Linked DNA regions of Cricetulus griseus. The protein of the gene in region 1 interacts with the protein of each later gene in a pairwise test. Links are inferred from orthologs where the notes say so. Each region holds a gene or a part of one and is shown on either strand. Other genes may lie near its edges.

Region 1 (7,424 bases):
ACTGTTCATTTCATCAGCCTTCACCTTCCTCTCCTCAGGTGCGTAGCTACAGGGGCCTCCTGGACCTCACCAAGCAGGTGCTACAAGATGAAGGCACCCAGGGCCTCTTCAAGGGCCTGTCCCCCAGCCTGCTGAAGGCGGCCCTCTCCACCGGCTTCATGTTCTTCTGGTACGAGCTCTTCTGTAACCTCTTCCACTGCATAAGGAGTGAAGACAGATAGCTGTGAGCATGGGAGGGGCCTACAGTCCACACTGGAGGCGCCTCTCCTGACCAGACTTGTTCTGCGCGCATACTGGGCGATGGCTGCTGCCTGGTTGACCTAGGCCGGCTGTCCTGGGCATGAAGAGTTATCCACAGCCGATGGCAGAAGGGCAAGGGCCTTTTCTGAAAAGAACAGAGAAGGGAGAGCTTGGGCTGTAGAAACAAGGCCACTGAGAAGGAGCCTGGCATTGTTTCTCCTCTGTCCAGCCCAAAGGAGTCAGCCATCCTCTGCTTTGTAGTCCTGTTTTTGGGGGAGAACGCTCCCAGTCCTGGGAAGAGCATGGCTTGTGTACAGAGGGAAGGGACTGGGCTCTTTGTAGAAAAATCTAACCCACAACTTGGTGTTTCTCCTACTAACTTATTTAATAGACATTAAAGCGAAAGACACATTCCTCACGTCACTCTTGCAGCTCCTGTCATGAGTCACTTCCCAGATGAGGGAGGGAGGGTGATGGGAGAGGCCTTTGTGGTGTCCCTGCAGTTGCCGCCCTGAGGCAGCCATGTTCTTCTTTTCAAGGGGAACCCTTCAAGGTGTCACTCTTCAGCTTAGCGTGGGTGCTGCACACATACGTGTCCTCTGATCCCAGGAGGGCCTCAGCCACAAAGCAGTCCAGTGATGGGGCTGGCCAGCCGCCTGGGGGGACATGGCTGGCACCGGTTAGCAGAACCAGGGACCCAGACACATCTATCTAGATGGAGAGGAAAAACTTGTCAGGGGCGCGAGAGAAGAAGCACACCTCGACAGCCGTCTTCTCCATGCTCCTGCCTGGCAGCGGGCGAGAGGACAGACCTTGACTTTGTGGGATCCCTGCCCTACAATAACTTGGAATGTAATGCCTGCTCGGGATGGACCTGTTCATGGAAGCTGGAACTTGTGCCCCGCGTGAGCCCCACCTTCCTCCTCTGTGGTCCCTTTGTACCCCCTCCCCTAGAGGCTGAACCTTCTCTGATCTGATGGTCCAGGCTGCTCTTGGGAGAGCTTCTGAAGTGGCTGGGCTCTTGGCTTCCTGGGCTTGGGGCTGCAGCAGTGTGGTGTGGTGCTCGTCTGCAGACACATGGGCAAACGTCTACTCTAGAGAAGGAGCAGATGGCAGACCAATGCAAGGTCTGAGGGCTTCTGTTGCTGCCTGAAACACCACCACCAAAAAGCCGACTGGGGAGGAGAGGGTTTATTCGGCTCACACTTCCACATTGCTGTTCATCATGGAAGGAATTCAGGGCAGGAACCTGAAGGCTGGAGCTGCTGCAGAGGCCATGGAGGGGTGCTGCTTGCTCAGCCTGCTTTCTTATAGAACTCAGGACCACCAGCCCAGGGTGTCAGCACCCACGATGGACTGGACTCTCCCCATCAATCACTAATTTAGAAAATGCTCTCCAGGCTTCCCCACAAGTCTGATCCTACGGAAGCATTTTCTTAATTGAGGTTCCTGCTTCTCACATGACATTAGTTTGGTGTAAAACTATTTAGCGCACAAGGCTGGAGAGATGGCCCAGTAGTTAAGAGTACTGGCTACTCTTTCAGAGGACCCCGGTTCAATTCCCAGTACCCTCATGGCAGCTACAACTGTCTGATCCAGGTCAAAGTGATTTGACGCCCTCATTCTGACATAGATACAGTCAAAACACCCATACACATAAAGTAAAAAATAAATCATTAAAGCAAAACAAAACCTTCAGCACTACCAAAGTCCAACTTGGTGAACCAATGAGGTTGACAGCTATCGAAAGCTGGGAACCACTGGGCGGTGGTGGCCCCAGCACTCGGGAGGCAGAGGCAGGCGGATCTCTGTGAGTTCAAGACCAGCCTGGTCTACAAGAGCTAGTTCCAGGACAAGCTCCAAAGCCACCGAGAAACCTTTTCTCGAACCCACTCCTCCCGCCCTCACCAAAAAATGCTGGGAACATGGAACACACTGAACAGCCTGCAGGTCCACCAGGCAGCTCAGTGGTCGGGCCTCTGAGGTCAAGTTGACCGATCTTGACTATGCTGGGCAGCCCAGCCCATGGCGGCTTCTTCCAGGCAGCTGTGCTGCTGACCCGAGCCCTTTTCAGGCAGCCTGGCTTGGGTGCTGAATGCATCTCGGTGGTCCTCATTGCCTGCACATCCTTAGTAGGGAGGGGCTTCCAGGAGCCTTTGAGTTGTTCGCGCCCCTAGAACATTCGGTATCTTTTATTTCTTTTCCGTTTTTCGAGGCAGAGTTTGTTTCTCCTCTTAGATGTCCCATCTTAACCTGGAGGCTTTAGTCGGCTGTCCGAATCTTTCAGTTTGCTTTTTTATAAAGTAAATCCCATGCTCCTCATTTGCCCTCTGGCAGGCGATTCCTTGGCTGCCGCAGAGGAGAGTTCTCTTTTGTACCTATTACCATGACTGCCGCGACAACTCTTAAAATAAGCGCGAGCTCTGGCTGCTGGTCGCCTGTGTGCCCGTGAGGTGGGGAGGCCACAGCGATGCTCCCGAGTCCCCCCGGGGAGGACCCAGGGCCCTTTCTCCAGGACCGCCCCTTGGATTTAAAACTTATTTTGCCAGGGTGTGCCCCAGACCTTACACACCTTCTGCTTTAACCAGCCCAAGCCCGGAGGACAGTGCCCAGGCTGCTGCGATTGACTCGCCCCGCCTCCCGGTAGGCCACGCCCTCCCGAGGCTCCGCCCACGCCGCGCGGCCCGGGAGTCTCCCACCCGGTTCACCTGAGCCCCGCAAGGGACATGGTGACCCTGGCGGGGGTGCGACCCGGCAAGAGCAAGGGCTTCATGCGGGACGGAGAGCGGGTCCGGCCGAGCGCTCGAGGGCCTCTGCGGACAGGAACGAGGCTGAGGTGCGCCCGGTGAGGAGGGGCCGGGGGCGGCGAGCGCGGCGCGGCGGTGGCGATGTCGCAGACGTCGGTGCGGATCGGTCTCCGCGCCAAGCCTGGGAGCGGCCCCGGGCGGCGGCGGGGTGCGCAGGCGTGCGCAGCGGGGAGGGGGGCGGCAGGCGGCGCTGGCGAGCTTCTCAGGCGCCTCCGTGCGAGCCGAGCTCAGCTTCCGCGCGGTGGCGCGCCGGGCGAGCGCTGCGCAGTCCCCGAGACGCGAGCGCCCTCCCACGCAGGCTAGTCGGAGCCCAACGGCTGCAGGGGTGGGTGTTGTGGGCGGAAAAGGACTGGCTAACGCGGGGGAGAAGGGCTCCAAGCCCTGCTGGTATCAGGATCCGCGCCTTGGACAACGCCGGCAAAGGAGCCGAGCCAGAATTCTCCATGCCGGATAACTTGGGCGAGTCTGACGTCTCCCTCTCCACAACCCAGTTCAGTATGCGCTCCCCTAAATGCACCCTGATACTGGCTGATAATAACCCAGATCCTGCCGCGGCCGTAGGTGAATTCCCGCTTCATTCCTCGTATGTAATCGCAGAAGCCCGGGTTTCCTCAGGCTGAGCTGCAGGTGCCTACTTGATGCTCAAGTCTCCACCAGAAGCCAAGTGTGGTGGGCTGAGAGCGACAGAAGTCCAGTTACTCCTGTCCCTCCCAGGCCCGGCCCGGCCCGCCCCACCCAGTGCCTACAGGACTAGAAAACCGAGCTCTGCGATTCTCACGCGAAGCCTCTTCGGTCTTTGCTTCTCAGGTGCTGACATTAGTTTCAGGCCAGTGAAAAACTGCTGAGGCTGGACCGTCATGGGGGAGGCCAGTAGAGATGAGTATAAAATCCAGTCGTTTGATGCAGAGACCCAGCAGCTGCTGAAGACTGCACTCAAAGGTGAGCCTACCGGCCCTTCTACTTGGGCAAGAGCTGCAGAGGGGCTGGCTGAATGCCCAGCCTCCCTGTGCCTACCCGAGAGTAAGTCACAACCTCACTCTTGGACCGGAAGACGAGCTCCATCTAGGCCATTATTTTTGAGAATGAATCACAGTCCTGTTTGAGATCATACAAAGCCTTTAAATGCCCAAGAGAGAGGGAACACGACGGCCGTCCCTTTAAAGCCACATTCGATGCAGCCAGCCAGCCTCCTTGAGTGTCCACAGCTGTCTGGCTGAGGACAGAGGCTGGGGAAGCAGCTTGCTGCAAGAGAGGTGTCATTGCCCGGCCCTATGTCCTTCCATTGTAACAGGACAGGAGTTTGACTAACAGTTAGCATTGTCCCTCCTGTGCCCAGCTAACCCCAATAGGGAAGTCTCTGCAGGCTCATGCCTGGGGCTTCTGTGTTTTGAGCACACTTGGAGCCATGTGGTGGAGCACAACTGTAGTCCAAGCAGATTACAGAGGCAGGAGGATTAGCTGCTCTACATAGAGAGAGCCTGGGGGAGGGGAAACAGGCCAGCAGTGTAGAGCACAGGTTGCAAGCCAGGCACGGTGGGCTCCTTTAGTCCCAGCACGCGGAGGCAGAGGCAGGTGGATCTCTGAGTTCCAAGCTGGTGTGGTCAGCTCCATAGTGAATTCCAAGATAGCCAGGGCTACATAGTGACCCAGTCTCTCTGTCTCTATCTCTGTTTCTCTCTCTCTCTCTCTCTCTCTCTCTCTCTCTCTCTCTCTCTCACACACACACACACACACACACACACACACACACACACACACACACACAAAACCATAAAGATGACTTGCAGAGGACCTGGAGTGGCTCATAGTCATTGGTAACCTGAGTTCCTGGGATCCAGTCAAACATGGTATTCATACATGCATGCAGACAAAATATTCATACATATAAAATGAATGAACCTTAAAAAAATTGCACAGTGAGGTATAGGCCAGCCAGTGCTATTAAATAACAGAATTAGACTGTCTCAAAAGACAAAAAAATTAATCCCAGCACTCAGGAGGCAGTGAGTTCGAGAACTCTGTGAGTTCTGGTCTACAAGAGCTAGTTCCAGGACAGCCTCCAAAGCCACAGAGAAACCCTGTTTCGAAAAACAAAACAAAACAAAAAACCCCCAAAACAAACAAAAAAAGTTGTAGAAGTCTTGACATTCAGTTTACATTCTTCAACCTACTGCCAAGAAAATAAAACATAGATTCCCAAGAAACTACATTTGTACTTTGGTCTCTTCTAGCCTCATAATCCTTTATTTAATTAATTTATTTATTTATTTGGCACAGGACTCTCAGTGTAGCCCTGGCTGACCTACAATGCAGCTCACTCTGTAGACCAAGCTGGCCTCAAACTCAGGTTGGCATGCCTCTGCCTCCCGAGTGCTGCCATTAAATGTGAGTGCCACTCCTGGCAGTATATAATTAAATTTTTTAAAATTTAGTTTGTTGGGCAGTGATGGTACACACTTTTAACCCCAGCACTGAGGAGGCAGAGGCAGGTGGATCTCTGTGAGTTTGAGGCCAGCCTGGTCTACAGAGTGAATTCAAGCACAGCCAGGACTGTTTCACAGAGAAACCCTGTCTGGGGAAAAAAAAAAAAAAAAACAGAACAATTTAGTTTATCTATGTGTTTACCTGCGTGTGTGGATGTGCACCCACCATGCACAGCAGTGTCTGTGGAGGCAAAAGAGGGTGTGAGAGCCTCTGGAACTAGTTACAGGCAGCTGTGACTAGTGTGGGAGCTGGGAATTGAACCTGGGTCTTCTTCAAAGGCAAGTGCTCTGGGCCGGTCAGTGGTGGCACACGCCTTTAGTCCTAGCACTCGGGAGGCAGAGGCAGGTGGATCTCTGTGAGTTTGAGACCAGCGTTGTCTACAAGAGTGAGTTCCAGGACAGGCTCCAAAGCCACAGAGAATTCCTGCCTTGGGACCACCCCTCTCATTCCCCTCCCCCCAAAAAAGGCAAGTGCTCTTAACCGTTAAGACATGCTTCAACTCCCCTGTTTCCTGATTGCACAGCCAGGGTCCTGACAGTGAGGCTGGTGTAGGCATGGTTGCAAGCATCTGCTTGGAGACTACATATTTATTGGTTTGGCTGCATTGTGTCCAGACTTTGGTTCCACACATCGTAGTTAGGCATAGTGCTTGGTCCCTAAATTCTACTCTTTACACCCCCAACTCTGGTTTTTATTTTCTAGATGGGAATCTCACTATGTAGCTCTGGCTGACCTGGAACTTGCTATGTAGACCAGGCTGGCCTGTCTCTGCCTCTCAAGCCCTAGGATTATAGGTGTGCACCACCCAACCCAGCTTCTTTTTTTTTGAGACAGGGTCTCATGTAGCCCAGGCTGTCATAGAACTCTGCATGTAGCCAAGGGTAGCCCTCACCTCTTGACCCTCCTTGTTTCTACCTCCCAAGTGCCATCTGGCTGGTTTCCCCCGCATCTTTTTAAGCATGGGATAGGATGTTCTCTCACAAACATCTCATCTTGGGTGTTGGAGTACTCGACTTTAATCCAGTACTCAGGAAGCAGAGGCCGACAAATGTCTGTGGGTTTGAGGCCTGGTCTACATAGAGTGTTCTAGGCCAGCCACGGCTACGTGGTGAGAACCTCTCCCAGAAAAACCAGCCCCTCCAGCCCTTAGCAGATGGAGGCACACAGGCTTAAGCAGGCAGCTCTAGACTCTGCTCCTGTCTCTACCCCAGATCCAGGCACCGTGGACTTGGAGAAAGTGGCCAATGTGATTGTGGACCATTCCCTGCAGGACTGTGTGTTCAGCAAGGAAGCAGGACGGATGTGCTACGCCATCATCCAGGTCGAGGGGGCTGGCAGAGAGGCAGCTGCCTTGAGTATGGCACCCCAGGATCAGGCACAGGCTGGCCAGCAGAAGACACACAAGTTTATAGACAGAGGCTAGGGTGGGTGGAGTGGCCAGCGCCCTGCTTACCACCCTCTCCTGGCTCACAGGCAGAGAGTAAGCAAGCAGGCCAGAGTGTCTTCCGCCGCGGGCTCCTTGACCGGCTGCAGCGGGAGTATCAGGCCCGGGAGCAGCTGCGAGCCCGCTCACTGCAGAGCTGGGTCTGCTATGTCACCTTTATCTGCAACATCTTTGACTACCTGAGGGTGAGGCAAGGGCAGTCACCCTGTGTAGCACTGATGGCCTGTGTCCCAAGGCCAAGACCGGACTGCTCCCCATGGTCACTAATGCTGCCTCCTGCACCTCTTGCTCTCCTCCCCACAGGTGAACAATATGCCCATGCTGGCCCTGGTTAACCCTGTCTATGACTGTCTCTTCCAGCTGGCCCAGCCTGAGAGTTTGAGCCGGGAAGAGGAGGTGAGTGGCCATTCCACAAAAGGCTGTGAAGGGCATGCTGGCTCAGAGTCCCA
Region 2 (7,436 bases), on another chromosome or scaffold:
CTGTTTTATGGAGTGAGTTCCAGGACACTCAGAACTACACCGAGAAACCCTGTCTTGAAAAACCCCAAACAGGCCAGGAGGTGGTGGCACATGCCTTTAATCCCAGCACTCGGGAGGCAGAGGCAGATGGATCTCTGTGAATCTGAGACCAGCCTGGTCTACAAGAGCTAGTTCCAGGACAGCCTCCAAAGCTACAGAGAAACCCTGTCTCAAATTCCCCTCCCCCCCAAAAAAAAAATGAAAAGGAAAAGAAGAGAAAAACCCCAAACAGAACAAAACAAGCCATGCATTACAGGCCAGGAAGCAGCACTCCTCCATGGCCTCTCCTTCAGTTCTTGTCTCCATGCTCCTGCCTTAAGTCCCTGCACTGACTTCCCTCAGTGAAGGACTATAAGCTGGAAGATAAAATGAACAATTTCCTTCCTGAGTTGCTTTTGGTCATAGTGTTTATCACAGCAATTGAAAATTGACTAAGACAGCTTTCCCAGCATGCACTGGGCTCCATCCCTGGCATTAAATAAGCCAATCTGGTGGTGCTTGCCTGTCATCCCCTCACTGGGGAGGTGGAGGTAGAATCAGTAGCTTGACACCAGCATGGGCTACACAAGACTGCTCCTCAGAAAAAGAGCAAAACTATTTCTCTATAGGTTTTCACTAGTGCAAGCATCGTTTGAAAGGTCACCACTTACACCTCAGCCATCTGAGTGCCAGATGACAGGTGTGTGCCACCACTCCCCACTGCACAGCCTTCTTACTGTCACGTCTTTGCATACAATTTGCTCATAAGTTAAACTATTACCTGGCTCCAAGGAAAGATCTTATTAATACCTTATTTCTGTACTTTTAAGTTTATTATTACTGTATGTGGGTGGGTGTTTTGCCTGTATCTGTGTTTGTGCACCACGTGCATGCCTGGCACCTGTGGATGAGGTCATTGGATCCCTGGGACTAGAGCTATGGACAGTTGTGAGCTGCCATTTGGGTGCTGAGAATGGAACCCAGGTCTGCTGGAAGTGCAGCCAGTGCCTTTAACCACTGAGTCAATGCTGTCCACTTAAATTTTGTTTTTAGAATTTTCCCATTTGTAGACAGGTGATGGTGGCTTATGTCCCTAATCCCAGCACTAGTGAGGCAGAGGCAGGCAGATCTCTGTGAATTTGAGGCCAGCCTGGTCTACAGAGCAAGCTCCAGGAGAGTCTCCAAAGCTACACAGAGAAACCTTGTCTTGAAAAAACAAAACAAAAACAAAAACAAAGCAAAGGCCATTTGTCTGGATTTTGCATTTCTCTAGTAAATTTTTTGTTTTGTTTTTGTTTGGTTGGTTTTGTTTTTCAAGACAGGGTTTCTCTGTAGCCCTGGCTGTCATGCACTTACTTTGTAGACCAGGTTGGTCTCAAACTCAGAGACCCACCTGTCTCTGCCTCCACAAGTGCTGGGATTAAAGGTATGCACTCCTGCACACGCACGCGCGCGCGCGCGCATACACACACACACACACACACACACACACACACACACACACGGCTCCATAATACAAATTCTACGTGCTGGAAATATAGGTCATCACAAGTGCGCCCAGCGTGTGCTTTCCATCTGCACTAGCAACCCAAACTAAGAAAGAACTTCTTGGAATGCATGTTCCCAGAGGCTGAGAATCAAGTAAAGGAAGATTATACCAGAGTTCTAGGGGGTGTAGCTCTGAGGAAGGAGAAAAGCTTAGTATGGGAAATAGTTTAAGATGACACTGGTAGGAACCCATTTCACATAGAGGAATATTCCCTGAGCCTAGACACACGGGGGAGGGCCTACGTCCTATCCCAAAGGATATGACAAACTGATGACCCCCCCCTATGGAAGGCCTCACCCTCCCTGGGGAGCAGAAAGGGCATGGGATAGGTAGGGTGTTACTTGGGGGAGGGAGGCAGAGGAGGAGGGGAGGGAGAGGGAACTGGGATTAACATGTAAAACAATGTTGTTGCTTTCTTCCTTTTTTTTGGGGGGGGGTTCGAGACAGGGTTTCTCTGTGTAGCTTTGGAGCCTGTCCTGGCATTCGCTCTGGAGACCAGGCTGACCTCGAACTCAGAGATCTGTGCCTCTGCCTTCCGAGTGCTGGGATTAAAGGCGTGTGTCACCAACGCCCGGCCTTTTTTGGTGTTTTTTATTTTTGTTTTGTTTTGTTGACAATGTTGTTTCTAATTCAAATAAAAAACGGAGGAAAAAAAAAAGATGACACCGGTAGAACTTGCAAGATGTCTTTGCAGCTAAGAAGGCTGACTGCCAAGCCTGAAGACCTGGGCTCAGTCCACAAGAGAATAAACTGGGGAGATTGCTATGAGTGCAAACCCAGCCTTCGGTACATCAGTGCGTGGTGCTCATGCCTATAATTTCAGCCCTTCGGAGGTTGAGGCAGGAGGATTGTCGGGAATTGCTGGTTATCCTAGCTACAGAGTGATACAGTGACTTCTAATCCCATCACTCCCCCCCAAAAAAACAATAAATTAAGTGGGTGCGGAGAGTTTAAGAAGTTCTGGACGGTCTCTCTGGGACCTCCTTCCAGCTTGGGTCCCCGTACTTCGCTGCACACGAGAGTCGCGTGTCCGCCTTCGTCCATAGGGAGGCGCTGTGCTCGCCGCGGTCTGGCCGCTCTAGGCTGCAGGGGCGGCACCGGAAGCCTCGTTCTCCCCGGGCTTCCGCTCTCTACCCGGGCTGGGAGCTGCGTGGAGCTAGACTTCGCGATGCCGACGGGCGACTTTGAGTGAGGACGGGGCGGTGGCGGGCTCTCCAGAGAGGCGGTGTGGGGCAGCGCTGGGTGTGTGGTGATCCGGGCGGCGCGGGGGTCGGGACCCGCTCACCCTTCTCGTGTCTCCGCAGCTCGAAGCCCAGCTGGGCCGACCAGGTGGAAGAGGAGGGCGAGGACGGTGAGTGCGCGTGTGCGTGTGAGTGAGTGCGTGAGTGCGTGCGTGTGAGTGCCTGTGCGCGGCCCTCCGCGCCCTGTCCCGGGGCGGGCCGAGCCCCCGGAGTCCCCAAACCCACCCACACCTTGGCCTGGACGTCCCAGCCGTGTGTTTCACTTTCCGTCCCCCCCGCCGCCCCCGCATTGCCTCTGACAGACAAGTGTGTCACCAGCGAGCTCCTGAAGGGAATCCCTCTGCCCACCGGGGACACCAGTCCAGAGCCGGAGCTACTGCCCGGAGGTGAGCCCCGTCCAGCCCTGCCGTCCCCTCCCCCTTCCGGCCCTCGAGCCCGTTCCCAGCAAGTCCCCGTTATCCAGGACTCAGTTCCTGTTGTCTTCCCACAGAGCCACTGCCACCTCCCAAGGAAGTCATCAACGGGAACGTAAAGACTGTGACCGAGTACAAGGTAGATGAAGATGGCAAGAAGTTCAAGGTGAGGCCGAGGTGGCCGCGGGGGCGCTTGGATTGGCGATGAGGGCTGTGAGTGTTGGTTTGGATTGGTGAGGAAGGAAGGCCTTGAGGTTCTGGAAGTCCTTTCTCCCTTTCCATCTTCAGATTGTCAGGACCTTCAGGATTGAGACCCGGAAGGCATCGAAGGCTGTGGCCAGGAGGAAGGTGAGGCCCTCCCATCTGACTCACTTTGGTGTGTGTATGCGGAGGGGTCTCCAGGACTGGCCCAGAGGAGTTGGGAAGTCCTTTCCTGTTGATGTAGAATTAAAAATTTAGTGTCAGGCCCTGGAAATTCAGGGTCCAGGAGTAGTTGAGGTTAGATTTTTTTCCCCCCTTTTGTGTGCTCCTGTGTACAGTGTCATTCCTCCAGCAAATTCCTCTTGCATTGAGATGGGCTTTTGTCATCAGGAATTAGATTTGACTAGCTGGCCACCTATCCCCAGTGAGCCTGTTGTCTCTACCTTTGGAGATAACAATCACATGCTTCTGTGCCCAGCTTTTCATTGTGGGTGCTTGGGATTGGACTTTGATGGGTACTTTTGTGACAAATAATTTGCTAACTGGGACATATCCATCCTCTTGAGTTTTTTGTTTTGTTGTTATTTTTATTTATTTTTTGGTTTTTCGAGACAGGGTTTCTCTGTGTAGCTTTGGAGCCTATCCTGGCACTCGCTCTGGAGACCAGGCTGGCCTCAAACTCAGAGATCCGCCTGCCTCTGCCTCCTGAGTGCTGGGATTAAAGGCGTATGCTACCAACGCCCAGCCTTAATTTATTTATTTTTAAAGATTGATTTATTTGTTTATTATGTATACAGTGTTCTGCCTGCATGTCAGAAGAGGGAACCAAATCTCATTACAGATGGTTGTGAGCCACTATGTGGTTCCTGGGAATTGAACTCAGATCTCTGGAAGAGCACTCAGTGCTCTTAACCTCTGAGCCATCTCTCCAGCCCCATTTGTTGTTATTTTTGAGAGGCTCTTGCTGTGTAGTATTCAGATTCTAAATGCTTCTGCCTAGCCTCCTGGGTCCTGACTTAGATTCTTACTCCTTTGCTCTGTCTACTTGAAGGAACAAGCAGCCTCTACTGAGCAAGGGGCAAGGGCTTCTGGAGGAAGGACATCAACACATTGAGAGCAAGGCTCCATGCCAGGCATTTAGCAAGACATGGCTTCCCAACCTCTAGATCAGGCTAGGGAGGCAGGGAGCTTTGTGGTCCCATTTAACTAGCTTAAGGTTCCTGTGATCTGAGTGACTCTTGGACATCCTCCAGCTTCCTCCCTGGTGGGAGCCCGCCCTGCACCTGCCTAGAAACTTCAGTGGCACAGTTGTGTGCCATTCTACTCTGAGTCTCCTTGCTGTTTCCTGGAGTTTTTTTTTTGCTTCTCTCCTTATGGGGTGTGTGTGGGGGGGGGTAGGTGTGTGGGTGTGTCTCGGGGTCATGAATGGCTGTATATTCACACTCAGACTAGAGGAGGAGATTGGGTGACTTGCTCTGTCATGTCACTTTACAACTTATTCTCTTTAGATAGGGTCCCCTGCCCCTGGGCTATATTTAACTCTTTGGTTTGTTTGTTTTTTGTTTTTCAAGACAGGGTTTCTCTGTGTAGCTATGGAGGCTGTCTTGGCACTGGCTCTGGAGACCAGGCTGACCTTGAACTCACATAGATCTGCCTGCCTCTGCCTCCCAAGTGCTGGGATTAAAAATGTGTGCCGCTACCACCTGGCTCATACTTTCTATATGAGAGTTTTGGGTTCTTTCATGTACAATAACCGGTTTTACACACGGAACCACCTCACCAACACCCTCCCCCCTTCTCCCCCACTCCTTTGTTTTGGCCTCATACAGCAGAGCTCAGGCTGGTTTTGAACTTGTGTATCTCAGGGTGACCTTGAGCTCGGAATCTTCTGTTTCCACCTTTAAGTGTCAGGGTAACAGTTACATTCCACCAAGCCTAGCTTAGGAAATGAGAATTGTCACCATTATCACATGGGAGGCCTCTGGGGACACGAGAATGTAGGATTTAAGGCTCTGACGGGGTTGTCTGTCTGGGGTACCCCACTCTGCTATCTTACTGCCTTTGTCCCCATTTTTCCCTATTCTTCTGGGAACCCAGAATTGGAAGAAGTTTGGCTACTCTGAGTTTGACCCACCGGGGCCCAATGTGGCCACCACCACAGTCAGCGATGATGTCTCCATGACATTCATCACTAGCAAAGAGGTGAGCAGGGTGAAGCTGGAGACCCAGAAGTGCAGTGGGGGTGGGGTGGACAGCGGCCGGCTCTGAGCCACTCTTCCCTATTCCCCACTAGGACCTAAACTGCCAGGAGGAGGAAGACCCAATGAACAAGCTCAAGGGCCAGAAGATTGTGTCCTGCCGCATTTGCAAGGGCGACCATTGGACCACCCGCTGCCCTTACAAGGACACACTGGGGCCCATGCAGAAGGAACTGGCTGAGCAACTGGGCCTGTCTACTGGGGAAAAGGAGAAGCTTCCGGGAGGTATGGGCCTAGGGCATGGGAGGGGCCTCAACACTTTTTTTTTTTTCCGAGATAGGGTTTCTCTGTGTAGCTTTGGAGCCTATCCTGGCACTTGCTCTGGAGACCAGGCTGGCCTTGAACTCGCAGAGATCCGCCTGCCTCTGCCTCCTGACTGCTGCGATTAAAGGCGTGTGCACCACCAACGCCTGGCTAACTTTGTGGTGTGCTGTTTTCTTTCTCTGTGGCCATGTTGGTGCAGCCTATGCCTGGGTACCCTCATAGTTACCTCGTTTGCTTGGGGCATGGTCATTCCTATGTATATGTGGCTGGTGACTTATTCTAACGCGCGCGCGCGCGCGCGCGCGCGCGTGTGTGTGTGTGTGTGTGTGTGTGTGTGTGAGAGAGTGTGTGAGTGTGTGTGTGTAGGGAGTATCCGTGTGCTGAGCTCACTGGCTCTGTAGGTCAAAATCTAATGTGCCATGTATGTAGCTGCCTGTTGGTGACTTGTGACTTGTGTGGAGCTTTGCCTCTCACCTATCATGAACAGCCCAGGGACACCCTCTGTCATAGCCTGTAGTCTGGGCTCTGAGAGCCTGGTGTTCTCTAGCTCGTGGGGCTCTGCAGTGCTGGGCTGTGGGTGCCAGCACCACACCTGTCCTGTAGCTTGCTCACTTTACCCATACTGTCTCAGTGGAGACTTTGAAGGGTGGTAGCTTCTGGATGTGACCATTGGGGTCACCAAAGCATGACTGAATGCCTGTAGCTCAGGGCTAGGGCTGAATGTGACTTTGTCCACTGCTTTCCAGAGCTGGAGCCTGTGCAGGCCACCCAGAACAAGACAGGGAAGTATGTGCCCCCGAGTCTCCGGGATGGGGCCAGTCGCCGTGGGGAGTCCATGCAGCCTAACCGAAGAGGTAAGAGGCTAGGAATAGCCTAGGTAGCAAGTACATAACTAGACACCCTGTAATTATCCTGTGTTGTGGGTGTGGGGTCTAATGTGGCGTTCTTCTCACCACCAACTCACCTTCCCTGCCTTGCTCACATAGCCGATGACAATGCCACCATCCGAGTCACTAACCTGTCTGAGGACACACGTGAGACTGATCTCCAGGAACTCTTCCGGCCTTTTGGCTCCATTTCTCGTATATACTTGGCCAAGGACAAGACCACTGGCCAGTCCAAGGTGGGTGGGTTGGTCTGGGGAATGGGTAGCTGGATAGTACTGGTTCTGGGACCCACTTCTTACCCTCCGGCCCTGACTATCTGCCCTTGGCCCCCAGGGTTTTGCTTTTATTAGCTTCCACCGCCGGGAGGATGCTGCACGAGCCATTGCAGGGGTGTCTGGTTTTGGCTACGACCACCTCATCCTCAATGTTGAATGGGCCAAGTAAGATGTCCTCCCCACCCTTCCCACATCCTCTGTAGCTCACTGTGGTTCTGTATCAGTTGTGTGGTTGTCGGGCCTATCTGAAGGAAGGTCCTTTGTTGTGCTCTGGGAAAACCTTTGCCAGATTTGATACCACTGTTCCTAAGCAGGCAAGGCCCGGGCTTC
Region 3 (7,439 bases), on another chromosome or scaffold:
CTACTCCCAGCTGGGATCAGCATTTCTTTTTTGAGACAGGGTCTCTCTGTGTAGCCTTTGGCTGTCCTGGAACTTGCTTTGTAGACCAGGCTGGCCTCGAATCACGGAGCTCCACCTGCCTCTGCCTCCGGAGGGCTGGGCCGGGCTCCAGCTAGCATTTCCTAAAAAATAGACACTGTACTATTGTCAAGGGATTTCTAGTCAGTGGTCAACTCAGCAACAAATGACAAACTCGAGACTTCAAGTGACCTTCTGCAGGAGGTTTCCATGGGTCTTTGGAGGCAAGAGTTCTCAAGTGCGCATGCGCAAGCAAGAGCAGTTCCCTGACCTCTTTTGATTGGCTAGGAGGAGCCGACTTCGCAGCCTCAGCCAATGGAGCTTAGGCTTGGCTCGGACTGTGAGTGGCGGTTGAGGAAGCCTAACCGCCATGTTGAGCCGTGGTGGCCGGAGCTGCTGGCCGGGTCGAGGCCGAGCCCGAGCCCAAGGGCGGAATCCACTTTCCCTGACCTTAAGTGGCGTGAGTATCTGTGCAGGTAGCTCTCCTTCTGTACCTTTAGGTGCTTTCCTCACTGCAAGAAAGAAAGGGAGAAGACAGTAAATGAGTCTTGCCCCATCAGCTAAGCACCAGGCCCGAGGTCCTTGGGATCTCTCAGAACCCAGGTGTCTCGTACCATAAATTAGGAAACAGACTGGCAACCGCTACGTGGTATTAAATACAGGAGGCTGAATTAAAGTGTTTAAGGGGCCTTTCTCCATGCCCTTCTCAGGAGTCTCACACTGCTCAGCTTTATTACAGGTGGAGTTGCCGTTTTTTCAAGCAGGGTGCAGGCACTCGCTGTGTAGAACAGGCTAGCCTTGAACTCACAGAGATCCACCTGCCTCTGCCTCCTGAGTGCTGGCTGCGATTAAAGAAGTGTTTCACCACCATCCGGCTAACACCCGAAATTTAATTCAGGATAGCTGTGCCCCCCGTGAGGTGTTTTTGTTCTTTCCTTTGTTGATATCCAGAAATATCACACTAGCCTAGATTATCCTCAAACTCATATAGCCAACAATGACCTTGAACTGGATCTTTGTTTCCACCTTCCAAGTGCAGCTCTTACAAGAGAGAACCACCTGGTTGGGCTTTGAGGATGCTTCAGTTGAAATTTTGTGTTTGAGGTATGCAAGAACTTTTGAGGTTTTTCAAATACATTCAGGGTCTAGCATGTGCTGCTAGGCAAGAGATCAGTTGCATGTTTTATTTCTTTTTTTCTTTTTGGTTTCTCGAAACAGGGTCTCTGTAGCCTTGGCTGTCCTGGAGCTCACTCTGTAGACCAGGCTGGCTTCAGATTCACAGGGCTTGCCCCTGCCTCCCACATGCTGGGATTAAAGGCGTCCACCAACACAGCCAACTCATGTTTTATTTCTTAAGCCAAGTGGTAGGAGCCTAGGTAAGAGCATAGAACATCAGGTCACATTCATCCCCTCACTCATTAATTTTCCCTCTATCCCCCAGAAGCTGAGGTATTTGTTAAATATTATTCCCTTCATTATCTGAAGTAAAAACAATTTTTTTTTTAGACAGTCTCACTATTTGTAGCCCTGGGTGGCGTGGAACTATGTGGACCAGGCTGGCCTACCTGTGCTTCTAGAGTTCTGGGATTAAAGCATTGTATCACCACATTAAGGTGTTTTTTGTTTGTTTTGTTTATTTTTTAAAGGTTTATTTATTTGTTTATTATGTATACAGTCTGCATCATGTGTCCATGAAGGCCAGAAGAGGGCACCAGATCTCATTACAGATGGCTGTGAGCCATCATATAGTTGCTGGGAATTGAACTCAGGACCTCTGGAAGAGCAGCCAGTGCTCTTAACCTCTGGGCCATCTCTCCAGCCCTAGTTATATTTATTTTTAAATAAGATGGTCATGTTGATCTCCAACTCCTTATTCTCCTGCTTCAGCATCTCAAGTACTGGGATTACAGGTTGCACCACCATGCTTGACTTGTACAATTTTTTTAGTTTGGGTCTGGTTTTCTGAGATTCTGTCTCAAAAGAAAATGAGCACAAGGAAAATAATTTCAGAATTCAAAACGAAATTTCAGATGGGAGTGATGGCTCATGCTTATAATCCCAGCATGTGGAGACTGAGGCAAGCAGATCACTGTGAGTTAAAACCTCTCCTAAATAGTCGTCGATGTGTTTCTGATGACTTTCATTCTGTACACACACCTATGTTAGTTTGTTTCATTTTGTTGAGCAAGGAGAACCTATTCTATATTGCATCTTGCATAATTTAATGTTTAACTTCATTTTATTTTGTTTGGAATTTCTTAACCTTATGTAGCCTTGAAAAATACAAAAAAAAAAAAAAAAAAAAAAACCTCAAATTTTTTTCTAGTTGATTTTTCCCCAGGATTTCTTCTGACTCGCAATATGGTCATGGCTCCCAGCCTGTGCTTGGTTGTCCTCTGCCTGCACCATCCTTACGTACTCACCATTGCTTGACATTAATTTGTCATGTAATATTAGTAAAATGTTTTCATAAAGTTCCAAGAAAATTCTCCAATTCCTTCCAAGAAGTAGCCAGGGATAAAGGCCTATTTGATCCCAGTTAGGGGAAAGCAAGTATTTCAGTCCTTATTTTACTATTCTAAAAACTAGAGCTATTTCCTCCTCTTAAAGATTATCCAGGGCTCCAAAGCTACACAGAGAAACCCTGCCTCAAAAAACCAAACCAAAATAAAATAAAAATTATCCAAAACTAAGGCTGAAGAGATGGCTTAGAGGTTAAGGGTGCTTGCTGCTCTTGCAGAGGACCTGGGTTCAATTCCCAACACCAACATGATAGTTCACAACTATCCATAACTCCACTTCTGGGTATCCAATGCCCTCTTCTGACTTTTCTGGGCTCCAGATACACATATAGTGCACAAAGGCATGCAAGCAAAACACTCATACACATAAAATAAGCAAGTTTTTTTTGTAATTATCCAAAACGAAATAAATAAAACTCCAGCTACACAGCCTTTACATAGGAGAGGAGAGCTGGCCATCCGAAGAAGGCATAGATGATTCCAAAATCCATATATTTCCTTATTAAATGGCTCTTGCCACCAGGGATTGAATTGGATTGGTTGGATAAACTGACTTACTCTTTCTGGTTTCTGATATTTTACCAAAATTTTCAATTTATCAAGAATTTGGTGTTTTCAAAACTCAATTTGGGACAGATCTTTGTTTCACAGGACTGATTGCCAATACTTAGAAATCTTATTAAATTGATAAGAACAGACACTAAGTAAGCTGAGGCATTTTAAATAACCTGAAAAGTTAAAACAGCTATTTGCTTGCTTATGTATTCTGAATGTAATAGTTATATGAGCCCCTCTATACCACCATGCTGGGTGTGAAGGTGATTTCCCTCCTTTAGTCAGAGAGCATTTAGTCTAGGCTACCTCAGTTGGGTAGTAGGGCAATCTGCAGCGAAGTGGTAGAGGCGGGGACCTGAAGACTACCTTAGAGTTGCCAGGACTTTAGGGGCGCAGAGCTGACGCGGGCTCTGACGACACCGCGGTGCGCCGCTTCCGGTCGTCTGCGCCTCAGTGAATGATTTCCCCCGGGGCGGAGCTGGGCCTCGCCGCGACCCACCTGAGCCCACGGCCGCGCCGCCTAATCGGGCGAGCCTGTCAGCACTGCCCCGGCACTGGGGACCATGGCCACGGATTCATGGGCCCTAGCGGTGGACGAACAGGAAGCCGCGGCTGAGTCGGTGAGTTGTCACCAGCCGCTGGAGGACCATGGGACCAGTGCCGGTCAGGATCGCGGTCTCTTGGAAAGACACTGTTTAGGTTGCTCGGTGCAGGGCGGAGGAGCCTGGCGGGAATGGGACTTGGCCCCAAAGCTGGCTTTGCTTACCCAGCCCCTCCCACGTTGTATAAACTCAATTTGGGTGATCCAGCCATCTGCCTGTCTTCCTGGAATCAGGGTTGATAATCGATTGCACTCACAACCTCGGATGGCAATTTTTATGTAGCTTCAGATACAAGTTTCTTGGGCTCACGGACCATGTCTTACTCATTTATAACTCCTCCCACTGGGTTATTGGTGCTGGATGATTGACTGGTTTGGCAGTAAATCCTCTCTTGATTAGCTCTTTTTCTTAGCCTGATACATTGTAGCAAGACGTGAGTTAAATATTGCTATGTACAAGTAATTTACAAACATTCTGAAATTTAGTAGAGATTTGAATGTGACTCTCAGTACATATATCTGTGTATTTTCCAAGAATAAGTATTTGTCCGATTTAACTTTTTTTTAGTAAAGAGTAAAGGTTTCAGCCTGGCATGATCTGGCACCTCTCATCATATCTCTTAGAGGCATAGGCAGGAAGATTGCCTCAAGTTGAAGGCCACCCTGAAAGAAAAAATATTTAGTTTAGCTTAAAACTTTTATTATAATATATATAGTAATATAATTATTTACCCACATGGTTTAAAGAGAAGTAGTGTTTTGGACTTTGTTCACTTATTTGGGTATTTTTAATTTTTTCTTTTCTGAGACAGAGGACCTTGAATGAATGTATGTATGTATGTATGTATGTATGTATGTATGTATGTATGAATGACTGACTGACTGGAACTCCTGATCCTCTGTCTCTTATGTCCTGAGTGCTAGGATCACAGGCCTGCATCACTGTGCCCTGTTTGAGAAAAGTGTTCTTTTTTCTTTTTCTTTTTTTTCCTTGAGACATGGTTTCTCTGTAGCCTTTTTAAAAATTAATATACAAAGTGCTAGGTTTCACCATAGCATCTTTATACATATGTGTATGATTCTTTGTCCTTCCCTTACTCTCCCTCGGGTGGCTTCCCTCCAGCTGGGTTCCCTTTCTTCACCTGTGTAGCCTCCCTCCTGCTTTCCTGTTAACTTTATTTCCCACCTACCATAAGACCTCTTCCTCCTCCCTCATGACCTCCTTTCTAGTTTTGTGACCTATAAATACACAGATAAATAGGTGTACAAACACCAATATATATAATTTTGCATTATGAGCAAAAACATGTGTTTGTTTTCCTTGGTCTGGTTTATTTTGCTTAACATAATGATTTCCAGTTGTACTCATTTTGTGCAGGTAACATGAGTTCACTTTTCTCTATAGTTCCATAAAATTCCACTTTGTATACCACATTTGCTTTATCTATTCATCTATGAATGGACTTCTAGGCTAGTTCCATTTCCTGGCTGTGTAGCTATAAATACAGATGTGTAAGTATCTCTGTAGTATGTTGACTTTGTCTTTCATCCTTTGAATACACAAGAGTGGTATAGCTGGATCATGTTCTATTATCAGTTTTGTTTTGTTAATGTCTGTACTGATTTCTGTATTGGCTTCATTAACTGATCTGGTTAACATTTCCCAAGTGCTGGGGTTACAGGAATGCATAGTTGTCATGCACAGTTCATGCAGTTTGTGGAACTGAACTTAAGAGTTTCCTGTGTGGTAGGCAAGCACTCTACCAACTGAGCTACATTCCCAGCCTCATATTTCTTTTTCTTTTCTTTTTTTGTGGGGGGGATTATCTACTTGGTTATTGGCCCATTCATTAATTGAACAGTTTGGGCCTTGGGGGTTTATTTTTGCACTTCTTTTAAAAAATTAAGACAATTTTATTGATTGCATGTAATTTTATGTATGTTAGCATATATTACAAACTTTAACTCACTATATAGCCCAACTGGAATTTAATTTTCTTCTTTTTTTTAAATATTTATTTATTATGTGTACAGTGTTCTCTCTGCATGTCTGCTTGGATACCAAATCTCATTACAGATGGCTGGGAGTTACCATGTGGTTGCTGGGAATTGAACTCAGGACCTCTGGAAAAGCAGCCAGTGCTCTTAACCTCTGAGCCACCCCCTCCCCTGGAATTTAATTTTCAGCAGTCCTTCTACCTCAGTTTCCCCCAGTTTGAGGATTACAGGTTTGAGCTACCAGGCCAAGATCCCAGTTTTGATTAAAATGTTATCTTTTAATTAAATGGACTTTCTGTATTTATATTATTATTTCCTAAGTACTTTTTTTTTTTTTTTTTTTTTTTTTTGAGACTGGGTCTCTCTACATAGCCCTGGTTGTCCTGGAACTCACTATTTATGCTAGGTTGGCTTTGAACTTACAGAGATTCACCTGCTTCTGCCTCACAAGGGCTGGGACTAAAGGCATATGCCACCATGACTAGCTCTTTAAATTTTTAAAATTACATGTATCTGGCTTTGTGTGTGTGTGTGTGTGTGTGTGTGTGTGTGTGTGTGTGTGTGTGTGTGTGTGTGTATGTGTGGTGGGGAGGGGAGGTCTTGCCATAGCACGAATATGGGAGCCAGAAGACAACTGGTGGAATTGCTTCTTTCCTTGTACCATGTAGGTCCTGAGGATTGAACTCAAGTCTTCAGGTGTGGTGGCAGATGTCTACCCTCTGAGTCTTCTTGGCCATCCCCTTACTTACTTGATAAAACTTGTTTTTCATGGAGTTTTTAATTGGCCTGTGGTTTGCTTGTTCATTTATTATCAGCTCGCTCCTTAGCTTGATGCTGGTAGTCTTTATATCAAGATGTCCAACTACATGTGGGGAAAAAAAAAAGATGTTCAACTACATTAAGCATTCTATTAACTGTTTCTTTCATAACATTTAGTGTGATTCAAGCTGGACTGTCCAGACCCTCCTATTTTTAGAGTACAGCTCATTTTTGTAGGGACAAGGAGAAACAGCAGATTTGCTATCAATCTCATTCAGAAGGATTCCTTCTTCCTTTCTCTTTTGTTGAATATACTCTCTTCTCCCTCCTTTACATCCCTCCTCCTCGTAGACACAGGGTCTCATGGAGCAAGAGCTAGCCTTCAACTTACTATGTAGTCCAGGATGGTCTTGAACTCCTAATCCTCCTGCTTTCACCTGTTGCATTCTGAGATCACAGGTATGGACAACCATGACCAGTAAACTAGCCCCCTCCCCTACCTTGGTTTTTTGAGGCAGGGTTTCCCTGTGTAGCTTTGGAATCAGTCCTGCAATTCACTCTGTACACCAGGCTGGCCTTGAACTCAGAGATTCTCCTTCCTCTACCTCCTGAGTCCTGGGCTGGGATTAAAGGCATGTGCCACTACTGCCCAGCTGAGTGAAGGATTTTTTTTTTTTAAGGTGGATTTTTTTTTTAAGATTTTATTTATTTATTATGTGTACAACATTCTGCTTCCATCAGAAGAGGGCACCAGATCTCATAACAGATGGTTGTGAGCTACCATGTGGTTGCTGGGAATTGAACTCAGGACCTCTTAACCTCTGAGCCATCTCTCCAGCCCCTGAATGAAGGATTTTTATGTTTTAAGATTTCCTTTGTTCTCTCTGCTAATCTCCTTGGTCTACTGTCTCTCATATGTTCCTACTATTCTGTAACACCAATGGGGC
Region 4 (7,341 bases), on another chromosome or scaffold:
TGAGACTGGATCTAAAAAGAAAACAAAAACCACTTTTCATTTTTGGTTCTAGTACAAAATGAGAGGGGCTCTCCAGACCAGGTACCTGCTTCATTCAAATGCATCTTTTGCTTCATACTGTGCTCCAGTTCTGCCTAATTTGATGGGCTTGCATACTTTTTTTCACATCTCCCAGCTCAAACTGAAGCAAGGACAAAAAAATTGGAAGAAACTGCCAAAGTTAAAGGCTGAGTAGAAAATGTCACCTCCAGGCTTCTAGCTGATGTGAATGTGGGGAAATAGGAAATAGGAGTCCTCCAGTTCAGCAGAGAGTCAGGATGCACAATACAAGGAGAAGGGGATAAACTGTCAGTCCTGCTTCTACAAATCCTGTTCTTTTGGAGAAATCTCAAGGCCCAGTGGTTAAGAGCACTGGTGGTTTTGGAGGATCCAGGTTCAGTTCCCAGCACCCAGCACCCACATGGCTGCTCACCACTATAACTCCAGTTCCAGGGGATCTGATACTCGCACAAATATAAGTGCAGGCAAAAACACAATACACAAAGTCATCTTTAAAGAGTTAAAAGAGCTCCCTGGGTGTGGTGGTGCAAGCCTTTAATCCCTCTGGAAAGCAGAGGCAGATGGATCTCTTGAGTTTAAGGCCAGCGTGGTCTATAAAATGTGTCCCGTCAGGGCAGCCAAGGCTGTTACACAGAGAAACTGTCTTGAAACCCCCTTCACCTGGAAAAAAGAGCTCAACACACTGATGACTGTGCAGGCTGGGTCTTCTCTGCCACCTAGATGTTCTAAACAACTTGTGATTCCATTAATTTTTTTAAGATTCTATTATGTATACAAAATTCTGCTTCCATGTATATCTGCACACCAGAAGAGGGCACCAGGTCTCATAACAGATGGTTGTGAGCCACCATGTGGTTGCTGGGAATTGAACTCAGGACCTCTGGAAGAGCAGCCACTGCTCTTAACCTCTGAGCCATCTCTCCAGTCCCATCCATTAATTTTTTTAATCACTTTATTTTATGTGCATTGGTGTTTTGCCTGAATGTCTTTGTATGGGTAGCAGATCTTAGACAGTTGTGAGCTGCCATGTGTGGGTTCTGGGTATTGAACTCAGGTCCTCTGGAAGAGTAATTATTAGTCCTCTCAATCTCTGAGCCATCTCCCCGCTCTCCATTCTTTTTTGTTTGTTTTGTTTGTTGATACATGGTTTCTCTGTGTAACAGTTCCGGTTGTCCTGGAACTAATACTGTAGGTCAGGTTGGCCTCAAACTCAGAGATCTGCCTGCCTCTGCCTCCTGAGTGCTGAGGATTAAAGCCGTGAACTACCATGGCCTGGCAGTCCCATGAATCTTTTTTTTTTTTTTTTTTTTGGTTTTTTGAGACGGGGTTTCTCTGTAATTTTGGAGCCTATCCTAGCACTCGCTCTGGAGACCAGGCTGACCTCTAACTCACATAGATTCACCTGGCTCTGCCTCCCAAGTGCTGGCATTAAAGGTGTGGGCCACCACAGCCGGACTATTTTCTGAATCTTTTTGGCATTTTGTCACCCCTTTCCTGACCTGTTGCTTACTATATGTAGAGGGATCTGACCTGTACTTGATTTTTCGAGACAAGGTTCCTCTGTGTAGTCCTGGTTGTCCTGGAACTCTCTTTAGACCAGTGTGGCCTGGAATTGAGATCCAATTGCCTGTGGAATTAAAGGCCTGTGCTATCACTGCTCGCCCATTTTATTTTTATTTATTTTGTTTTTTTCTCTGTGTAGCTTTGGAGCCTATCCTGGCACTGGTTCTATAGACCAGGCGGGCCTCGAACTCATAGAGATCTGCCTGCCTCTGCCTCCAGAGTGCTGGGATTAAAGTCATGCATCCCCAACGCCTGGCCTCATTTTATTTTTAAATGTGTATGCATGTATATGTCTGTGACCAAAAAGGCTAGCAGAAGGCATTGGATCCCTTGATATCTCGGCATTTGAGAAGTGAAGGAGAAAACCGAGCTCAAGGCAGCTAACTGCAAGAAACCTTGTTTCAAAACCGTACTAAAAACTATTTTACTATGAAATGAAGAGATGCAGTGAATACTAAAAGTTACTCTTTGTAGACAGAGCTCTTGGGCGTAACTCACAATCAGACCTCACCTAGCGAAGCAGGATTTTTGTTTTTGTTTTTTCGAGACAGGGTTTCTCTGTGACTTTAGAGGCTGTCCTGGAGCTAGCTCTTGTAGAACAGGCTGGTCTCGAACTCACAGAGATCCGCCGCGAAGCAGGATCTTAAAACACAGGGCACGCTTACTGTCCAGGGGCGGAGCGCGAGTGGGACATGACAAAGCGAGACAGGAACTGACGTCAACTCCGCGCACGTCTCCTTCCGCTCCGCGTGAGCGGCGCTTAGCGCGGGCTGGGACTCCACGCTGGTGTTGGCGTGGTGCGGAACCTCTGCAGATCCCGCTTGCCTTGGGGACCATGGCCACCGACTCCTGGGCATTGGCGGTGGACGAACAGGAAGCCGCTGTCAAGTCGGTCAGTGTCCTGGCGGGGACGGGGGACTCAGGCGGACGCTGTTTCCAGGACCTCCGAGTCGGGTCGGCCTGCGCGCCGCAGGAGTTTGCTGCGGGCAATCACTTAGTGCTGATTTGCTCCTAGAGTGAAGAAAACCCGCAGCGAGCTTCTTATCCGAATTTGGACTGAAAAGTTTTCCCGTGGTGATTCTGTCCTCACTATGTGTGCGAGGTTCCAAACTGGCTCTTTCTCTTGACCTTTATAACAATTGGCAACATAAAATTTTCTTTTTCATTGTTAAGGGACAGTTTTTGGGTGCATTTATGCTGCTTTCACCTAACTTCTTACGTTCATGCCTAATGTGGTTGACAGTTTGTAGCTCTCCAGAATAACTGTGTGTGTGTGTGCGCTTGCTTGCTTGCTTGCTTGCTTGAATGCCTCACATAGCTACAATACAAAACTGTTTAGTTAATATTTTAGTGACATTTAGTTTCATTTCTTAGATTTTGAGTGTGTGTGTGTGTGTGTGTGTGTGTGTGTGGTTATGGTGTGTGTTGGTGTGTTCGAGACAGGGTTTCCTTTAGTCTGGGTTGGCTTCTGACTTGTTGGATAGCTGAGGTTGTGTACTCCTGTCTTTCTACCTCCTCTTAAGTGCTGGAATTACAGGCTTGCTGCCTTTGTTTTGTTTTGAGACAGACCAGATGGCCTGCAGATCACTGTTTAGCTCGGTGTGGCCTCAAATACTTTTAATATTTGCTTATGTTTGTTTTGTGTTTATATGTGTACTCCTTTTGTCCCTACATATGTTAGAAGAGGTAACTGGAGATAGAAACCGACATGAGCCTCAATGTGGATTCTGGGAACCAAACCTTAGACTCCTGCAAGAGCAGGAAGCTCTCTTAACCACTGAACCGTCACTGTAACTCCAGTATTTATTTTTTTAAACCATTAATTGTACTTATGATGTGTATTATGTGTTTTGAGCATGCATGTATCACGGTGTGTATGGAGGTCAGAAGACAACTTGTGAGGATAGTTTCTGGACCTACATTGTGGTCCCAGGGATTGATTCAATTAATCAGACTTGATGACATGCAATTACCCACTGAGCTATCTTATGAGCTCCAGTCTGAAGTTTCCAATCTAATGTTTAATATGAGCTTATGCCTAAAAGGTAGTGACTGGGAATTGTTTTCAATTTAATTATATGTGTTTGAGAAGGAGATCTCACTCTGGCCAGTCTGGTCTTAAAGCCCCGTACTCCACTAATCCTCCTGTCCTAACTGGAAATGCAGGAGGGTACCGCCATACCCACCTTTCTCATTTTTTAAAGTGTACTATCCAAAGCTGGGGACATAAGTTTTCTAAGTTACAAACTTGCCTAGCCTGAACAAGGCCCTAGGTGGACACCTTGCACTGCAGGGGTAAAAAAATATGTACCTAATCTCATTATGATATGAATGTCACCGGTACCACCTAAACATCCTTAATATTTGACCTAACCATTCTGCTTATCAGAAGACTGATGCCCCTTGAGATATACTTCACCACCACCACCCCAACACACATACACCTTTTGCCACATAGACCTGTGTACATTTCCTGTCCACAGAGGCAATATTAATCATCAGAGGTTGTGTGCTGTGGTGAATCCAGAACAAAGGACAATGGGCAGTTGATTGGCTGGCCTTTCCCATTTGTGGTTGCTGTTCACTCTCAAGACAGGCATACTTGTCTACTAGCAGTTCTTCCTTGAATGCAGCTGCTAGATTCTTGCTTTTGACATCCTTTATCCCTTCAGAGAAAGCTGTTTTTTACACAAATCATGGTTTAATTAACTTAGTTTTCTTTTTTATCAGGCCTTTTGGAGGCCAGTCTTAATGTGGAAGAACTCAAGATGGTCATTATCAAATTTTCAGAACATCCCAGTTATTTATGTTGGTCGCTGCATACATCCTGAAAATAAGGATTAACCAACCAATGATAACTTTTGCTATGCCATGCCTCTCCTGTGTATTTTGGGCTTCCTCTGGACATTCCCCCACTAAAAAAAGAAGTGTGGTCACCTGCGTTTTTGTAGAAAACCTGGTTCCCAAAGAGATCAGATGAAAACACTAACTTTTGTGGTGGTTTGAATAGGTCCCCCATAGGCTTGGAAATTTTTTAACTCTTGGTCCCCAGTTGGTGCCGCTGTTTGGGGAGGCATAGGAGGCATGTCACTGGAGGCAGGCCTTGTGGGAAAATAAAGCCCCATTTCAAATGCAGTTCAACATGAAAGCCCTCAGCTTCTAGCTCCAGTCACCATGCCTCTGCTCTGCCATCGTGGACTCTTAGCCTAGAGTAACTCTTAGAACCACAAGCCCAAGTCAACCCTTCTGTAAGTTGTCCTGATTATGTTGTTTTATTACAGCCGTAGAAAGGATATGAGCCGGGCGTTGGTGGCGCACGCCTTTAATTCCAGCACTCGGGAGGCAGAGGCAGGCGGATCTCTGTGAGTTCGAGACCAGCCAGGTCTACAAAAGCTAGTTCCAGGACAGCCTCCAAAGCCACAGAGAAACCCTGTCTCGAAGAACCAAAAAAAAGAAAAGAAAAGAAAAAGATAGGAAAGATATGCATGTGTGAGTAGATCTTTTCTCAAAGGCCTAGCTAGCAGTGTCAGTTGGAGAGGGCAGCTTGGAAAGGATGTTATCATTTAGCAGAGTATAGCAAGTTTGAGAGCAATATTCCAGGAAAGATAACAGTTCATGGTAGGTGTATTGGCTCACAGTTTTTTTTGTTTTTGTTTTTTTAAGATTTTATTTATTATGTGTACAACATTCTGCTTCCATGTATATCTGCACACCAGAAGAGGGCACCAGATCTCATAACCAGTGGTTGTGAGCCACCACGTGGTTGCCGAGAATTGAACTCAGGACCTCTGGAAGAACAGTCAGTGCTCTTAACTGCTGAGCCATCTCTCTGGTCCCCTGGGAACATCTTCAATACTACTGTATTAGTTGCTTTGATCTTTGCTGTGACAAAATATATGACAAGAACAACTTAAAAGTTTATTTTGGCTCATGGTTTAAGAATGACGGACACATGGTCCATTATGGTGGAAGGCATGGTGCTAGGAGTCACAGGGATCCTCAAGTAAGATGATGATGATGATGATGATGATGATGATGATGATGATGATGATGATGAAGCTTCACTAACCTTCTCATTCAGTCCTGGACTCTAATTCAGGGAGTGGTGCTGCCCACATTCTGTGTAGTGTTGGTTTTCCTCCCTCAGATAAACTCAGAGGGTTATCTTCTATTGATTCTAAGGACGGTTGAGTTGACAGTCAAGATTACCATCTTACCATTTTCAAATCACTCTTAGCAGTTTTTAGAACATAAGAAATATTTGTGAGCTGTGCGTTGGTGGCACATGCCTTTTATCCCAGCACTGGGGAGGCAGAGGCAGATGGATCTCTGTGTTCGAGGCCAGCCTGGTCTCCAGAGCGAGTGCCAGGATAGGCTCCACAGCTAACACAGAGAAACCCTGTCTCGAAAAACCAAAAAAAAAAGAAATATTTGTGAGAGTCTGGAATGATGGCTTAGTGGTTAAAAGCACTGACTGCTCTTCGAGAGAACCCAGTACAATTCCCAGCATTTACATAGCAGCTCACTCCTGTTTGTAACTCCAGTTCCAGGGCCTCTGACACCCTCACACAGACATACATGTAGGCAAAACACCAATGCACATAAAATAAATTTTAAAGTTTGTGAAAGTGGAGCCTTGATTGCAAATTTATTAATTATTGCTCTGATTGTACTTTCTATTATAAATTATCAATTCAGTTTCTGTTGATGAAGACCATGTAGCCAACAGTTAATTAAAAAAAAAAACCAAAAAAACCTTGTATTGAAGTTCTAGAATTTTCATTTTTTTTGTTTTGTTTTTTGAAGGCAAAGTCTCATGTGGCACAAGCTGGCTTCTAACTCATGATCTTTAACTTTATTCTTCCTGCCTCCATCCCCCAAGTGCTGTTTCACTGCACCCAGTTTATTGTAATACATTTTAAAGTAACTTAACATACAGGTGGAGCTGATGGAAGTAGAAGCAGACACCCACAGCTAAACCTTGAACTGAACTGGAATCCAGTTGCAGAGGAGGAGGACTGATGAGCAAAGGGGTCCATACCAGGCTGGCGAAACCCACAGAAACAGCTGACCTGAACAAGGGAGAGCTCTTGGTCCCCAGACTGATAGCAGGGAAACCAGCATGGGACTGATCCAGACCCCCTGAATGTGGGTGTCAGTGAGGAGACCTTGGAAATCTATGGGACCTCCTGTAGTAGTTCTGTATTTATCCCTAGCATAGGTGTGGACTTTGGGAGTCCATCCCACATGGAGCCTAGACACAAGGGGGTTGGCCTAGGCCCTATCCCAAAGAATAAGACAGACTTCTAAGATCCCCTATGGAAGGCCTCACCCTCCCTGGGGAGCAGAAATGGTATTGGATAGGTAGGGTGTGAGTTGGGGGCCACAGGGGAGGAGGGTAGGGAGAGGGACCTGGGATTGACAAGTAAAATAATTTTCTTTCTAATAAAAATTTAAAAAAAGAAAAACAAAACAACAAAAAAAACCTTGCAGGTGTTTGATAGGATAGAGGACTATAATTTATTTGCTGTTGATAGGGTTAAAGAGGTTGGGGCATGACTTTCTAGTAGCACATCTCTGTTAAGGACACAAGCCCTGGGGGCTGGAGAGATGGCTCAGTGGTTAAGAGCACTGATTGCTCTTCCAGAGGTCCTGAGTTCAATTCCCAGCAACCACATGGTAGTTCAAAATGATCTGGTGCCTGGTGCCCTCTTGAGA

What was found.
Region 2: the proteins of Mif4gd (region 1) and Eif3g interact in binary tests that used the Homo sapiens proteins (3 or more experiments, as listed by UniProt). The link is inferred for Cricetulus griseus from reciprocal best matches to the Homo sapiens genes MIF4GD and EIF3G.
Region 3: the proteins of Mif4gd (region 1) and Ddx19b interact in binary tests that used the Homo sapiens proteins (3 or more experiments, as listed by UniProt). The link is inferred for Cricetulus griseus from reciprocal best matches to the Homo sapiens genes MIF4GD and DDX19B.
Region 4: the proteins of Mif4gd (region 1) and ATP-dependent RNA helicase DDX19A interact in binary tests that used the Homo sapiens proteins (3 or more experiments, as listed by UniProt). The two-hybrid records come from large-scale screens. The link is inferred for Cricetulus griseus from reciprocal best matches to the Homo sapiens genes MIF4GD and DDX19A.

The regions. Positions count from the first base shown.
Region 1 is NC_048600.1:128,202,659-128,210,082, reverse strand, and holds the start of Mif4gd (MIF4G domain-containing protein), read left to right. Parts: upstream 1-2,889; 5' UTR 2,890-3,085; intron 3,086-3,386; exon of another isoform or gene 3,387-3,674; intron 3,675-3,854; 5' UTR 3,855-3,904; coding exon 3,905-3,986; intron 3,987-6,742; coding exon 6,743-6,852; intron 6,853-7,004; coding exon 7,005-7,160; intron 7,161-7,278; coding exon 7,279-7,371; intron 7,372-7,424. Other genes in the region: Slc25a19 (mitochondrial thiamine pyrophosphate carrier), read left to right, coding at 39-221. UniProt on the Homo sapiens protein: Functions in replication-dependent translation of histone mRNAs which differ from other eukaryotic mRNAs in that they do not end with a poly-A tail but a stem-loop. May participate in circularizing those mRNAs specifically enhancing their translation.
Region 2 is NC_048597.1:133,766,278-133,773,713, reverse strand, and holds the start of Eif3g (eukaryotic translation initiation factor 3 subunit G), read left to right. Parts: upstream 1-2,644; 5' UTR 2,645-2,735; coding exon 2,736-2,755; intron 2,756-2,871; coding exon 2,872-2,918; intron 2,919-3,110; coding exon 3,111-3,194; intron 3,195-3,298; coding exon 3,299-3,387; intron 3,388-3,509; coding exon 3,510-3,569; intron 3,570-5,519; coding exon 5,520-5,624; intron 5,625-5,715; coding exon 5,716-5,905; intron 5,906-6,690; coding exon 6,691-6,798; intron 6,799-6,930; coding exon 6,931-7,067; intron 7,068-7,164; coding exon 7,165-7,271; intron 7,272-7,436. UniProt on the Homo sapiens protein: RNA-binding component of the eukaryotic translation initiation factor 3 (eIF-3) complex, which is required for several steps in the initiation of protein synthesis.
Region 3 is NC_048596.1:187,429,998-187,437,436, reverse strand, and holds the start of Ddx19b (ATP-dependent RNA helicase DDX19B), read left to right. Parts: upstream 1-3,600; 5' UTR 3,601-3,697; coding exon 3,698-3,754; intron 3,755-7,439. UniProt on the Homo sapiens protein: ATP-dependent RNA helicase involved in mRNA export from the nucleus.
Region 4 is NC_048596.1:187,401,215-187,408,555, reverse strand, and holds the start of ATP-dependent RNA helicase DDX19A, read left to right. Parts: upstream 1-2,352; 5' UTR 2,353-2,458; coding exon 2,459-2,515; intron 2,516-5,092; exon of another isoform or gene 5,093-5,112; intron 5,113-7,341. UniProt on the Homo sapiens protein: ATP-dependent RNA helicase involved in mRNA export from the nucleus.